Linked DNA regions of Schizosaccharomyces pombe. The protein of the gene in region 3 interacts with the protein of the main gene of each other region in a biochemical or structural test. Each region holds a gene or a part of one and is shown on either strand. Other genes may lie near its edges. The genes, in order: spt5, tup12 and pct1.

Region 1 (3,757 bases), 1.6 Mb from region 3:
GCTACCTCGAACATTTTCAACAACACCACTTACTCCAGTCTGCTCACCAACATATACCTCGACATGATCTCCAGGCTGAAATTCAGCATGGCCCCCTTTGACGCTGAGAGCCAAAGAGCTGAGATCCAAATCCTCATTATTAGGATTGAATTTGGATACCTCGTCAAGTGTAGGATTAACTCCTTCAGTTATCAGTGAGGAAATACGAATGTCCTTTACCAAAAATCCATCTTCGAACTCTTCATTGTTGAAGAGGAAAAGTCTAGGACCACGTTTAGAAAACTTAGAAGGATTGCTTTTAAATGCTTCGCTTTCATTAAAGAGTCTTGCTTGAGGACGAGTGGCAGAATTCTTTCGTTTCAACCCATCGGAATAATCAATACGAGGAACTATACGTACACGTGCGGTTAAACCATTTTCTGAAAGGTTGTCAACCTGAGCGAGATCACCGGCGTACTTTCCACGGCGTATACGCACATATGCACCAGGCAACAGTTCAACAACCTGTTTTTGAACTTTGAGTAAATCCGGCATTTCCTTAATTGGAACTAAAATCATGTTATTTGTATAAACATTTAAAACCCCATTAAGTGCATCTAGAACATGTGATTGCTTTCGAGCTTCAACGTATATATAACCGACCAGCGAGTCACGTTGAAATGCTGAAATGATTTCTAATGGAGAGCTAGTATATTGCAAATCCATAGCTTTCCGCATTATGGTAAAAACAATATCCTTTTCTTTGCCAATTTTACAGCGAACAGCCCAAATATTGGGATCATTCACTGAAGGAAGTAGAAGACGTTGGGGAACATTGCTTGTATCTCCAACAACAGTTTGGCTACGACCATACTTTTCACGATACTCCTCAGCAAGGCGTTCAGCATCAACAGATTGTAGTTCCTGTCTTTGACGGTCAAGTTCACGATGGCGACGATCATCACCGACGTAATCCGCTCCAACTTCTTCTTCAATGAAACCATCTTCACGACCAATTTCATCTTCCTCATCTTCAAGCTCTTCCTCGTCCTCATCTACTTCTGCTTCAATATCAAGGAATTGGTTGCGGCGGTCATGGCGAGCCCTTTTTCTTCTACCGCCACCTGATTCATCTTCATCTTCCTCGTCTTCCTCATCATCTTCTTCATCCTCTTCTTCCTCTTCGTTTGCATCAGCTTCTTCCTCGTTTTCTTCAACATTATCCTCATCTTCTTTTTTGTCATTGTTATTTACATTATCGACTTCGTTTTCATTCCCATCTTCGCCTTTATTAATTGTGGTATCATTTGGACTTTCGTTATGGGAATCCACGGGAGAACTCTGTTTTTCATTTGTAGTAATTTTAGCAGCTTCAGAATCATCATTCAGCAAGTCACTTCCATTGGGGGATGCACGGGTAGAATTGATTTTAACTGAAGCAGCATCTTGCTCAGCTGCATCTACCTCAGTCGAATTTGCATCTTTATCAATAGATTTCGGAGAATTCGTATCCATTGTGACTTAAAAAAGAGGAAATAGTACCTATTCCCTCAATGCTTTGTTTTTAGACCTTTAATCTAATATAGGCGATAGGTTCGCCGATTAATGAACTTTTTATTCAACAAGTGGTGTTTTGTTAAAGGTGACTTACAGTACGTACTGCTGCCCTATTTTACCAAGCAAGTAGGTCTTGTATGGCTTGCAGCGACAAGAGTATAGATATACGAAAGAAGCAATTTAGAATGGAATACTTACGGTTTTTTTGTAAAATCAAACTTTTGCTTTAAAAGTATTTGCTTTAATGGTAAGCTTGAGCAATTGCCACTGCTGGTAAACAAACTTGTATACACGAAATGCCATACACAATCTTAAAGTTAGACTTGGTTTAATTGAAATTAAAGATAATGGGATGCTCAGATTATCAATAAATTCATCTTACATTTAAATTGTAATATTATGTTATATTCCATATAACTATGAACCCTTTAGGGCAATATCCCTTTGCGTTACTAAAATCCAATATAAATATTAAACTGGATAAGAGGATATTTTTTACCGAGAGAATATAGGACAAAGGTGGTGTCCATATACTATCTTCTTACTCAATAAATCTTATAATTATGATACAGGTTAAATGAGGAATAATATAATAGCCAGCTCTTGGTGCTTGTTCATAATTTCCCCCAAACCAATGATGCTACTCAGCTATACAGCATCGTGTACATTGCCAATACAGTCGAGTTTTTCGAATAAATGCTTAAAATTTAATTTTGGCCTTTTATGACTCTCCATTTGTCAATCTTCGCACCCACCACGGTAGCATATAACAACTTGGTTTTAGCTTCAATCTACTCTTAACCTTCGAAAGTCGATTTTCTCTAAACATTCTTTATTTTCCCTTTTAAACATTACCAATTTTTGCATTTCCTCACAATAATATGTAGTGGTGATGGACGCGTTTGTACTCGTAAATTACCTATACCTACTCACCTAGAACTCATAAATGTCGGTAGTGAAAGAATGGGTTCTTCTAAACCACTCAAAGGCTTCGTGATATGTTGTACCAGTATCGATTTAAAGCAAAGGGTAAGATTTTTGCACGACGAATCGCATTTTTTGTTATTTGTGTTACTAACTTGACAGACCGAGATATCTACAAAAGCAACTAAACTTGGTGCTGCCTATAGATCAGACTTTACTAAGGATGTCACGCATCTTATAGCCGGCGATTTTGATACTCCAAAATACAAGGTATGTCGTAAAATCTTACAAATTACACTATCCTTCAAGAGTAAATGCTGACATTCTTTTCAATAGTTTGCCGCAAAATCCAGACCAGACATAAAGATTATGTCTAGTGAATGGATACCTGTTCTTTATGAAAGCTGGGTACAGGGAGAAGATCTGGATGATGGCCTGCTCGTCGATAAACACTTTCTACCAACTCTATTTAAATGCCGGGTTTGTCTTACCAACATTGGCCAACCAGAGAGATCTCGTATTGAAAATTATGTGCTTAAGCATGGTGGTACATTTTGCCCTGACTTAACTAGAGACGTAACTCATTTAATAGCTGGCACCTCATCGGGTCGCAAATATGAATATGCATTAAAGTGGAAAATCAACGTAGTTTGCGTTGAATGGTTATGGCAAAGTATACAAAGGAATGCTGTCCTTGAGCCGCAGTATTTCCAATTGGATATGCCAGCCGAAAAAATTGGACTTGGCGCGTATGTTCGTCTAGATCCCAATACTACGGAGGCAAAGTCTTATTCTGAAAACCAAAAAATAAGCAAGAATAAAGAAAAGTCTGGTCAATCCTTGGCTGCATTGGCGGAGGAAGCGGATTTAGAACCCGTGATTATGAAACGGGGAAAGAAGAGAGATAGAAGTATTTTATGGGAAGAACTTAATAATGGAAAATTTGAATTTTCCAGCCGTTCTGAAGAAAATTCAGTACTACTGGATGATTTCACTCCCGAAACTGTTCAACCCTTAGAAGAAAACGAATTAGATACGGAACTCAACATCGAAAACGAAGCTAAACTTTTTAAAAATTTGACTTTTTATCTTTACGAGTTTCCAAACACTAAGGTCTCCAGGCTTCATAAATGTTTGAGCGATAATGGAGGCCAGATTTCTGAATTTTTGTCTTCTACCATTGATTTTGTCGTTATACCTCATTATTTCCCTGTCGATGAATTGCCCATCTTCTCATTTCCTACAGTTAATGAGTGGTGGATAGAAAGGTGTCTTTATTACAAAAAAATCTTTGGAA
Region 2 (3,757 bases), 2.3 Mb from region 3:
AATCAGTCTAATCTTTCATCTTTTCAACAACAGCAGCAATTTTCGGCTTTGCAGTCAATTTCAAACAATGCCTTAAATGAAAATATTGAGCAGCCTCCGATAAAGATGGCTGCTCGTCATTCCTACCCAAACTTTTTACAGACTCTTCCACAGTATATGAATGATGTTTATAATCCATCCGGATTAGCCTTTAACCCTGTGAATCCCAATGCTAATAATTCATTTGTTAATTTGAATTTAATTCAATTCACATCACCATCTCAAGCTCTGTTCGATTACGGAGAAGGTCCTTATGTCGACCAAAAATCACAGTATTTGCAGCCAAAACAGCCGTCTTCTAACACTGATTCAATTGACCAATCTTCCTATAACATGTCTCTTGCTGCTTCCAAACAATTTTTAACGTCTGACACGCAACCCGATGTCAATGAAAATTACTCTTTTATTTCCAATTCTATCCCAAAAAACTTATCCACCTCTTGGAACCAGAATATGGGTTATCATGTAACTAATTCAAACTCAGAACTGGCCTCTCAAAACCCGCTTTATGCTCAACAGGCCGTGTCAATGGAGAGTATGGGCAATGCCATTCAGTCAAGCGCTTATTCCGCTATGTCGACTCCGCATGGAGGTCATTATGACCACTATGCCGCCACTGCGAAAGGTAAAAATCCTTTAGCTGCTGAAAACCACGCTTCTGGTGGTCGTTTACCCAAGGTTCCAATTCCTCCACTCTCGAATATGCGTCGAGGATCTGTTCCTATCATACCTTCATCTGCTTCTTTACCAATGCGTACTTCGGGAAATCGATTCTGTCATTATTCTTCATTAAATGGAAATCACAATCGAATTTCGGCACGTACGAATCCTTATCCCATTAACAACCAAACGATGCTTTTTACTGAACCACTTTCAAAAGAACGCGGCTCCTTGTCATGATTACAAAAAAATTCTTACGAATATTAAGTTTTGTGAGGTTTTTTTTCTTTTTTTTTTTTAAATGTCTTAACGTTATGTATTAATCCTTTTATCCAACTCTTGTTATATGTGCCATATATAAGTAAAAACATTCCATTCAAGTAATGTTTTTTTTATGTGTTTACTGCACAGCTCAATATCTGTTTTTGTACTATTTGCTTTACATTCTGTTCATGTTAGTGGTAGTTTTCAGATGCTCTAGGATAGCTTTTTCCACCAGCAATAACTTATTCTTCAAAGCGGCTTTAAAATTGAAGTTTTTGCGAGTAGCATACTAAATGAATATTTATGCCAAGCAAACAAACCCTTTCAATAAATCTAGGAAGTGTATCATAGTAAATTAAGTCAATGGGCTGAGGAGCAGGCCGTCTATGGCGTATGAAAATTCGAGACTAGTTTCTGGAAATAGCATATAGTGTTTTCAAAGTTATTCACTATCAAGATGAAATTAAATTACGTTAACTTCTATGGAATTCATCCTTAAAGTAAGTTTGTTTCAAAATACCCATAAAATAGTTTTCTTGATTGACTTTAAGAATTCATATTAGGATTATGACATCTACACTTTTGTAAAACTAAACTTCCAATAAAAACCAATACCAAATAATGTTTTATTACCAATTGTATCAAAACGCTTCATATTCTTCCCAAAAAAAAAAAAAAAGGATCTTCTATCTAAAGATTTTCAAGGTTTTAGAGTTAAGATATTTCACGAACTAATTCAAAAAGGGTTTCAATCGATTAACGTTAAAAAATATGTTTTACGAGGTTTCATCACAAATTAATGATTTTACATTTTCCAACTGCGGCAAGTTGAATGAACAGCCAAATTACTAATTCAACAATATTGTCTCGCTAAGCATAAGTGAAATTGTCTTTCCTGACATGTTAATCTCAACATAGTTTGCTTACTTTAGCTTCGAAGCCGAGAAGGTTTTACCGAAATTAACGAATGTTATTTCTCGTTATTTCTCAAACAACATCATTCATGATTACTGTCCGCCAATTCACTTTTACCATCTTCAAGTTTCAATTTATGGCGACGTCCAATGTATCATCACGTGTAAATGAGCTTTTAGAAGCGGTTAAAAAGGAATTTGAAGATATTTGTCAAAAAACTAAAACCGTTGAAGCTCAAAAGGATGATTTTGAATATAAAGGTATCTTATACAAGAATTTGCTGACAAATTTGCGGTACAAATCTAACACTTCTTAAATTAGCAATGATATCTGCACAAATTAATGAAATGGCGCTCATGAAACAAACCGTTATGGATTTGGAGATGCAGCAGTCTAAAGTGAAGGATCGGTATGTCAATTTTCCTAATACACGCTTGGCGAGAAGGTTTGTTATATTAGTACAAGGTTATGCAATTATTGTGAGTGTTGTAGAGTCTTACAAAAGCGATTCCTCTCTAAATATTTATACAATTTACGGTCGTTGACGATAAATCTTTAAAGATGCTAAATAATGGTGGCTCCTTTGATGGGAGTAAATTCTATTAAGTAATCTTTTCATATTTTTACTCCGATGAAGGGTATTTCGTTTTTTACTCAGTATTTGGATGTTTATCACTGTTCGAAGATTCTCTGTCCTTTTCACACTTTTGTCAGCACCAGCATGCCTTCTGCTATGTGAACATTTATTCTCAATTTTATATTATATTTTCTCGAAAGCTATCTTTCTTGTTACTAACTCTCTCTAGTTACGAAGAAGAAATCACCTCCTTAAAAGCTCAACTGGAAGCTAGACGCAAAGAAATTGCTTCTGGCGTCGTCCCACAGTCTTCGAAAACTAAACACGGGCGCAATAGCGTTTCTTTTGGAAAATATGGAAATGCGGGCCCTTTTAACTCGGACAACTCCTCGAAACCTTTGATACTTAATAACGGTTCTTCTGGAGGAACTCCTAAAAATCTTCGATCACCTGCCATTGATTCAGATGGTACTGTTTTAGCTCCTATTCAGACCTCGAACGTAGATCTTGGTTCACAATATTATTCCAGTCCTCATGTACGCCCTGCTGTGGGTGCAACCATGGCTGGATCTGCTATGCGAAGTAAGTTCAAGCTTGCATTGTAGCTTTTGGCAACAGCATTTGTTTTTTGACTTGATCAAGTTTATAGATACTTTTTGTCTTTCACTTTATTGTTTGCATCTGGTATGTTGTACACCGTATGTTCCCAGACAATTTTTTAATGCTGTCATTAATTCGTTTGAATTCCTTGCGGCTTTTGTTCATTTTTTGTAAAACAAAATACTATTGCCGAAACTATTTTGCTTCCTCGTTTTAATTTGGATTTTCTTACTTACCATTCACAGCATTTCCTTCCAATTTACCGCTCGGACATCCTCCACCTCCATCTGACTCAGCTAATTCTTCCGTCACACCTATCGCTGCTCCTTTGGTTGTAAACGGAAAAGTCTCAGGTAATCCTCCTTATCCTGCTGAAATTATTCCGACATCCAATGTGCCTAATAGAGAGGAGAAAGATTGGACTGTCACTAGCAATGTACCTAACAAAGAACCCCCGATCTCTGTTCAACTACTTCATACACTGGAACACACAAGCGTTATTTGTTATGTAAGGTTTAGTGCCGATGGAAAATTTTTGGCTACGGGTTGTAACAGAGCAGCTATGGTTTTTAATGTGGAGACCGGTAAATTAATTACGCTTCTGCAGGAGGAATCTTCGAAGCGTGAAGGTGATTTATATGTTCGCAGTGTAGCATTTAGTCCTGATGGTAAATACCTTGCTACTGGTGTCGAAGATCAACA
Region 3 (3,757 bases):
TCTTGTGCGAAAATTAACGCTTTGCCAGTTCATCCAATCTGGCTTGTAAATTGTCTTCAGTCTTTAACTCCGGTACCGTACCAATTTGGGTCGCAGCATCTGGCAATCCTTGAGACAAATCGACTCCAATTTCATCCAACACTTTATTGACAAGTTCATCAGCTTCCTCTTCGTCATCTTCTTCTAAAGCATCGTCCATATTTTCATCAATCATTTCTTGTCTCTGTTCCATAATTTCATTTTCACGCTCGAATTGCTGAGTGATACGAGCCATTGCCGGTATATTCATGCTTTTGTTCATCCCTGTCAATAACTTTGTAAAAGTTAGTTCTATATTTTTCGATATTAAGGTGAAAGGAAAGTCATTATGAAATTCTTTTCTTTTAAAACCCAGAAGATCCTCAATTGATTATTTACGGCTTCCATAAATCAGAAAGAAGAAATAAACAATGGGGTTAGTGTAATCTTACCCTGGTAGCACCTCGCATACTCTGCATCATCTGTTCGCTGGTTCTCATCGTCTATAAAAAGATTAGCATTATGGTTAAACGAAAAAATTTAAAAAATCTCATATAGTGAAGATTATCAATCAAATGGACTTACTTGTAATCTCAAAGATATAGCTTGTAGCTGCGTTTTTGCATTCATCATTTTCTTACGGCTATTCCTTAGTCTCATCAAATCCCGAGCTTGAATACGGGCAGCACCAGTATTTCCGGCTTTTGCACTACCTTTAATTTCTTGAATAAGCGCTCGCTCCCTTTGGTCCAATTTCGTTCGTTCACGATCCAATTCCCGTTCAGCTCGACCAAGAGATCTCTGATGAGCCCTCAGCTGTTCTTGAGGGGACTTCCCCCCTCCAAATAGCCAAGAAGTTAAGCCCATGAGCGTTTCGCTGTGGTTGTGCTCATGAATGTTTAGTTATTGATAACACACACGACACAAAATGGCTTAATATAATATCATTATATACGTAGTACGTTTTGTATATTAACTACTATATTGGAAAAACACATAAATCGTAACAAATTTTCATATTTAAAGTCTATATTTTTGATAAGCTAGACTTTTAACTATATATATTTTCAATCAGAAGATTAATGATAAAAATTCCAACTAAAATTTTTTGAATTTGTCTATCTAGGAAAGGTTATTTTACAAACAATTGCTACAATTGATGTGTGCAAATGTGTATTTATTATGCTCTAGCAAGCAGATCTAGTCAAATATCATACCTTGTAAACGTATGTAAAACATCCAGGAAAAGCTTAATACTACAGTTATTAAACTGATTTAGAGGGCTCAAAAAAAGCTAAGTAATTGTGTGTGTAAAACTGGGTTGAATAAATAGCTTATTAGTTAATAGCATACTTTACAATGTATCACACTTTACTAATTTTTGATAGTTTAACAGTTCAATAAACTGGATAGTTGAGAGTTTGAAAATTATATAAAGAGGTATTTAAACCAAGCATCTTGAGTAGCTTCATTTGAACATGCCAAGCGAGTATTTGAGTTTTTGACAAGAAGATCAACATCATTGTCATCTTAGCTAGCAATGTTTGATAAGTTCAATATAGCTTTACTTCCACACTTTTAACACATCGATACACTTGATTTATACCTGAAACAAATTACGAACGTAGCCTAACCTAACTCATCCAGATAGAGGTACGAAATCGACACGAACGGTTATAAAGTTATTGTAAGTTTCTATACGGTTTTCATACTTAACGGTAATCATACGTATTATATCTGATAAAATTTCACATCAAACTATTTTATTCAACAAATCCCATTTTTAATATATCCTTTTTGCATATGTTAAACAACCTGTCGGTATACTAAGTACTAAACGGCAAAAAGGAACTACCGAAAGTGACAGTGTCAGAATCAATTAATATGTTTACAAGAAGAAATGTATAATTAAAAGTAATGCTATTGAACAATTTAGTTGACTTCAGTTTTGGGACAAACTTAGCAACGTGGATGTACACGTTAAGTGAGTACACCTACTAACCATATTAACTAAGAAAAGTACGAATTCATCACGAATGGACCTTAAAGGTTTATTACATGAAGAAAACGAACTGCCTTCTATTGAAAAAAGAAAGATAGATGAAAATGCTGTGGAACACGATAAAGTCGAAAGAAAAAGGACAAAATCCGTAGCTGTACCAAAGATAGAAATGAACTTCTTAAATAAACCGATTGTTCCAGATACGACTAAAGTTATTTCAAACTTTCTTACACATTATTTGATAACTGAACCTGTTGAACATGTGGAGGTTGGTAAATGTTTTTAGTCATACGTTCTACTAACTGATTTTTTCTTATTTTAGATTGAGGCGAAACTTGGTACATTAATTGACTTGGAAACTCAAAATCGATTTGAGTTTCCGGTGATGAATGAAACTATTTTAAACCCGGAATTTAATCTTCGTACTCGGTTTGAAAGTGATATGACCGCTTCCGAGCATAAATATTTGAATGAGTTTCTTAATCAGGCATTTCGTGATTCACAAAAACCTGGACGGCTTCCTTTTGCCTATAAGCATACAAAGCAAGTAGATTTGTTCTATGAAACTGAAGATAACTCACGAGATAAAATACGCGTCTCAAAAAATCAAAGTGACAATCAAGTTTTGGCCTGTGTGAAAAAGCGAAGAGTTGCTGATTTATTTTTATATTGCCCTAATGATGCTTTTGATATACGAATTTCCATCAGCGACGAATTACCTGTTTCAATGCCTTCAGGTAATCAACAACCAAGTTTGACACGACTTAAAGATCGCGTTGGCTATGTGCATCAGGAAATTAAAATTGATTTGACTAAAACTACTCAAAATGACCCAGTTTACGATACCACTGAACGTCATGAGCTAGAAGTTGAGTTTGGTAACATCGCGGATTTGAGAGATCGTGCTCAAAAGGCCAAAGATGGAATGGAAGCTCCTTTGTTTCGGAGGGTACAGTTGTTTATGGACAATGTTCGTATTTTGAGACGAGAGCATTCTTAATTCTTTACACTTTTGCTACTTATTTGACATTCTTAAGTCATTTCTTAATAATTGTTCCTTGCTTTGCATCAGAATGTAAAGGGGTTTTTAATTACTTTAATTTAATCATCATTTCATACTGGGCAATAATCAAGGTAAAAGAAAGTCACGTTAGGTATAAACCCCCATGCACATATTTTAATTTTCGATTTTGTATCTCGGTGATTCTAAACTGAGGCTTAATCTTGGATGATTCTATTTTTTTTTTTACCTATTACGACGGGTAGTTAGAATTTCTACGTACATTTTCTAAATGTACACCTAAATTAAGGATCAGCTTTGTCTGATAACATCATTCGTTATAATTACTGTATCTTTACGAGAGCAGCTTACAACTCCTATATTCCTTTAATTGCAAAGTTTTCAGTTACTTCACCCAATAAAAATATTTATTGAAGAATTTTCATACCGAATATACAAAATAGCATTATAAAATACAAGTGTCCAAACCTTTGATTGCAGGTTATGTTTTAAAAGCGGCCTCAAACACCGGTACTTCCAAAGCCATTAGCACCGCGGACTGTAGCCTCTAAGCTCTCTACAAGTATGACTGGTGGATTGACAATTCTTTCCAAAATAAGTTGGGCTATCCGGTCTCCGACCTTTATAGGAAAATCAACATCACTGTAATTGAAAAGTAAAACACGAACATGGCCACGATAATCTGCATCAATCACACCGGCGCCAGTGTCAATGCT

Evidence for each region.
Region 1: the proteins of pct1 (region 3) and spt5 form a complex in vitro, tested with the Schizosaccharomyces pombe proteins (2 studies listed by BioGRID, with this or other methods).
Region 2: the proteins of pct1 (region 3) and tup12 form a complex in vitro, tested with the Schizosaccharomyces pombe proteins (one study listed by BioGRID).

What each region holds. Positions count from the first base shown.
Region 1 is NC_003424.3:1,061,604-1,065,360, reverse strand, and holds the start of spt5 (DSIF transcription elongation factor complex subunit Spt5), read right to left. Parts: upstream 1,618-3,757; 5' UTR 1,495-1,617; coding exon 1-1,494. Other genes in the region: BRCT domain protein Rad4, read left to right, coding at 2,500-2,565, 2,623-2,730, 2,797-3,757. UniProt on the Schizosaccharomyces pombe protein: The spt4-spt5 complex mediates both activation and inhibition of transcription elongation, and plays a role in pre-mRNA processing.
Region 2 is NC_003424.3:375,374-379,130, reverse strand, and holds the start of tup12 (transcriptional corepressor Tup12), read left to right. Parts: upstream 1-1,993; 5' UTR 1,994-2,014; coding exon 2,015-2,138; intron 2,139-2,199; coding exon 2,200-2,287; intron 2,288-2,684; coding exon 2,685-3,037; intron 3,038-3,300; coding exon 3,301-3,757. Other genes in the region: gluconate transmembrane transporter inducer Gti1, read left to right, coding at 1-939. UniProt on the Schizosaccharomyces pombe protein: Transcriptional repressor.
Region 3 is NC_003424.3:2,675,086-2,678,842, forward strand, and holds the start of pct1 (RNA 5'-triphosphatase), read left to right. Parts: upstream 1-2,000; 5' UTR 2,001-2,054; coding exon 2,055-2,288; exon of another isoform or gene 2,289-2,342; coding exon 2,343-3,020; 3' UTR 3,021-3,541; coding exon of another isoform or gene 3,542-3,757. Other genes in the region: ESCRT III complex subunit Did4, read right to left, coding at 14-313, 471-521, 604-885; dut1 (deoxyuridine 5'-triphosphate nucleotidohydrolase), read right to left, coding at 3,542-3,757. UniProt on the Schizosaccharomyces pombe protein: First step of mRNA capping. Converts the 5'-triphosphate end of a nascent mRNA chain into a diphosphate end.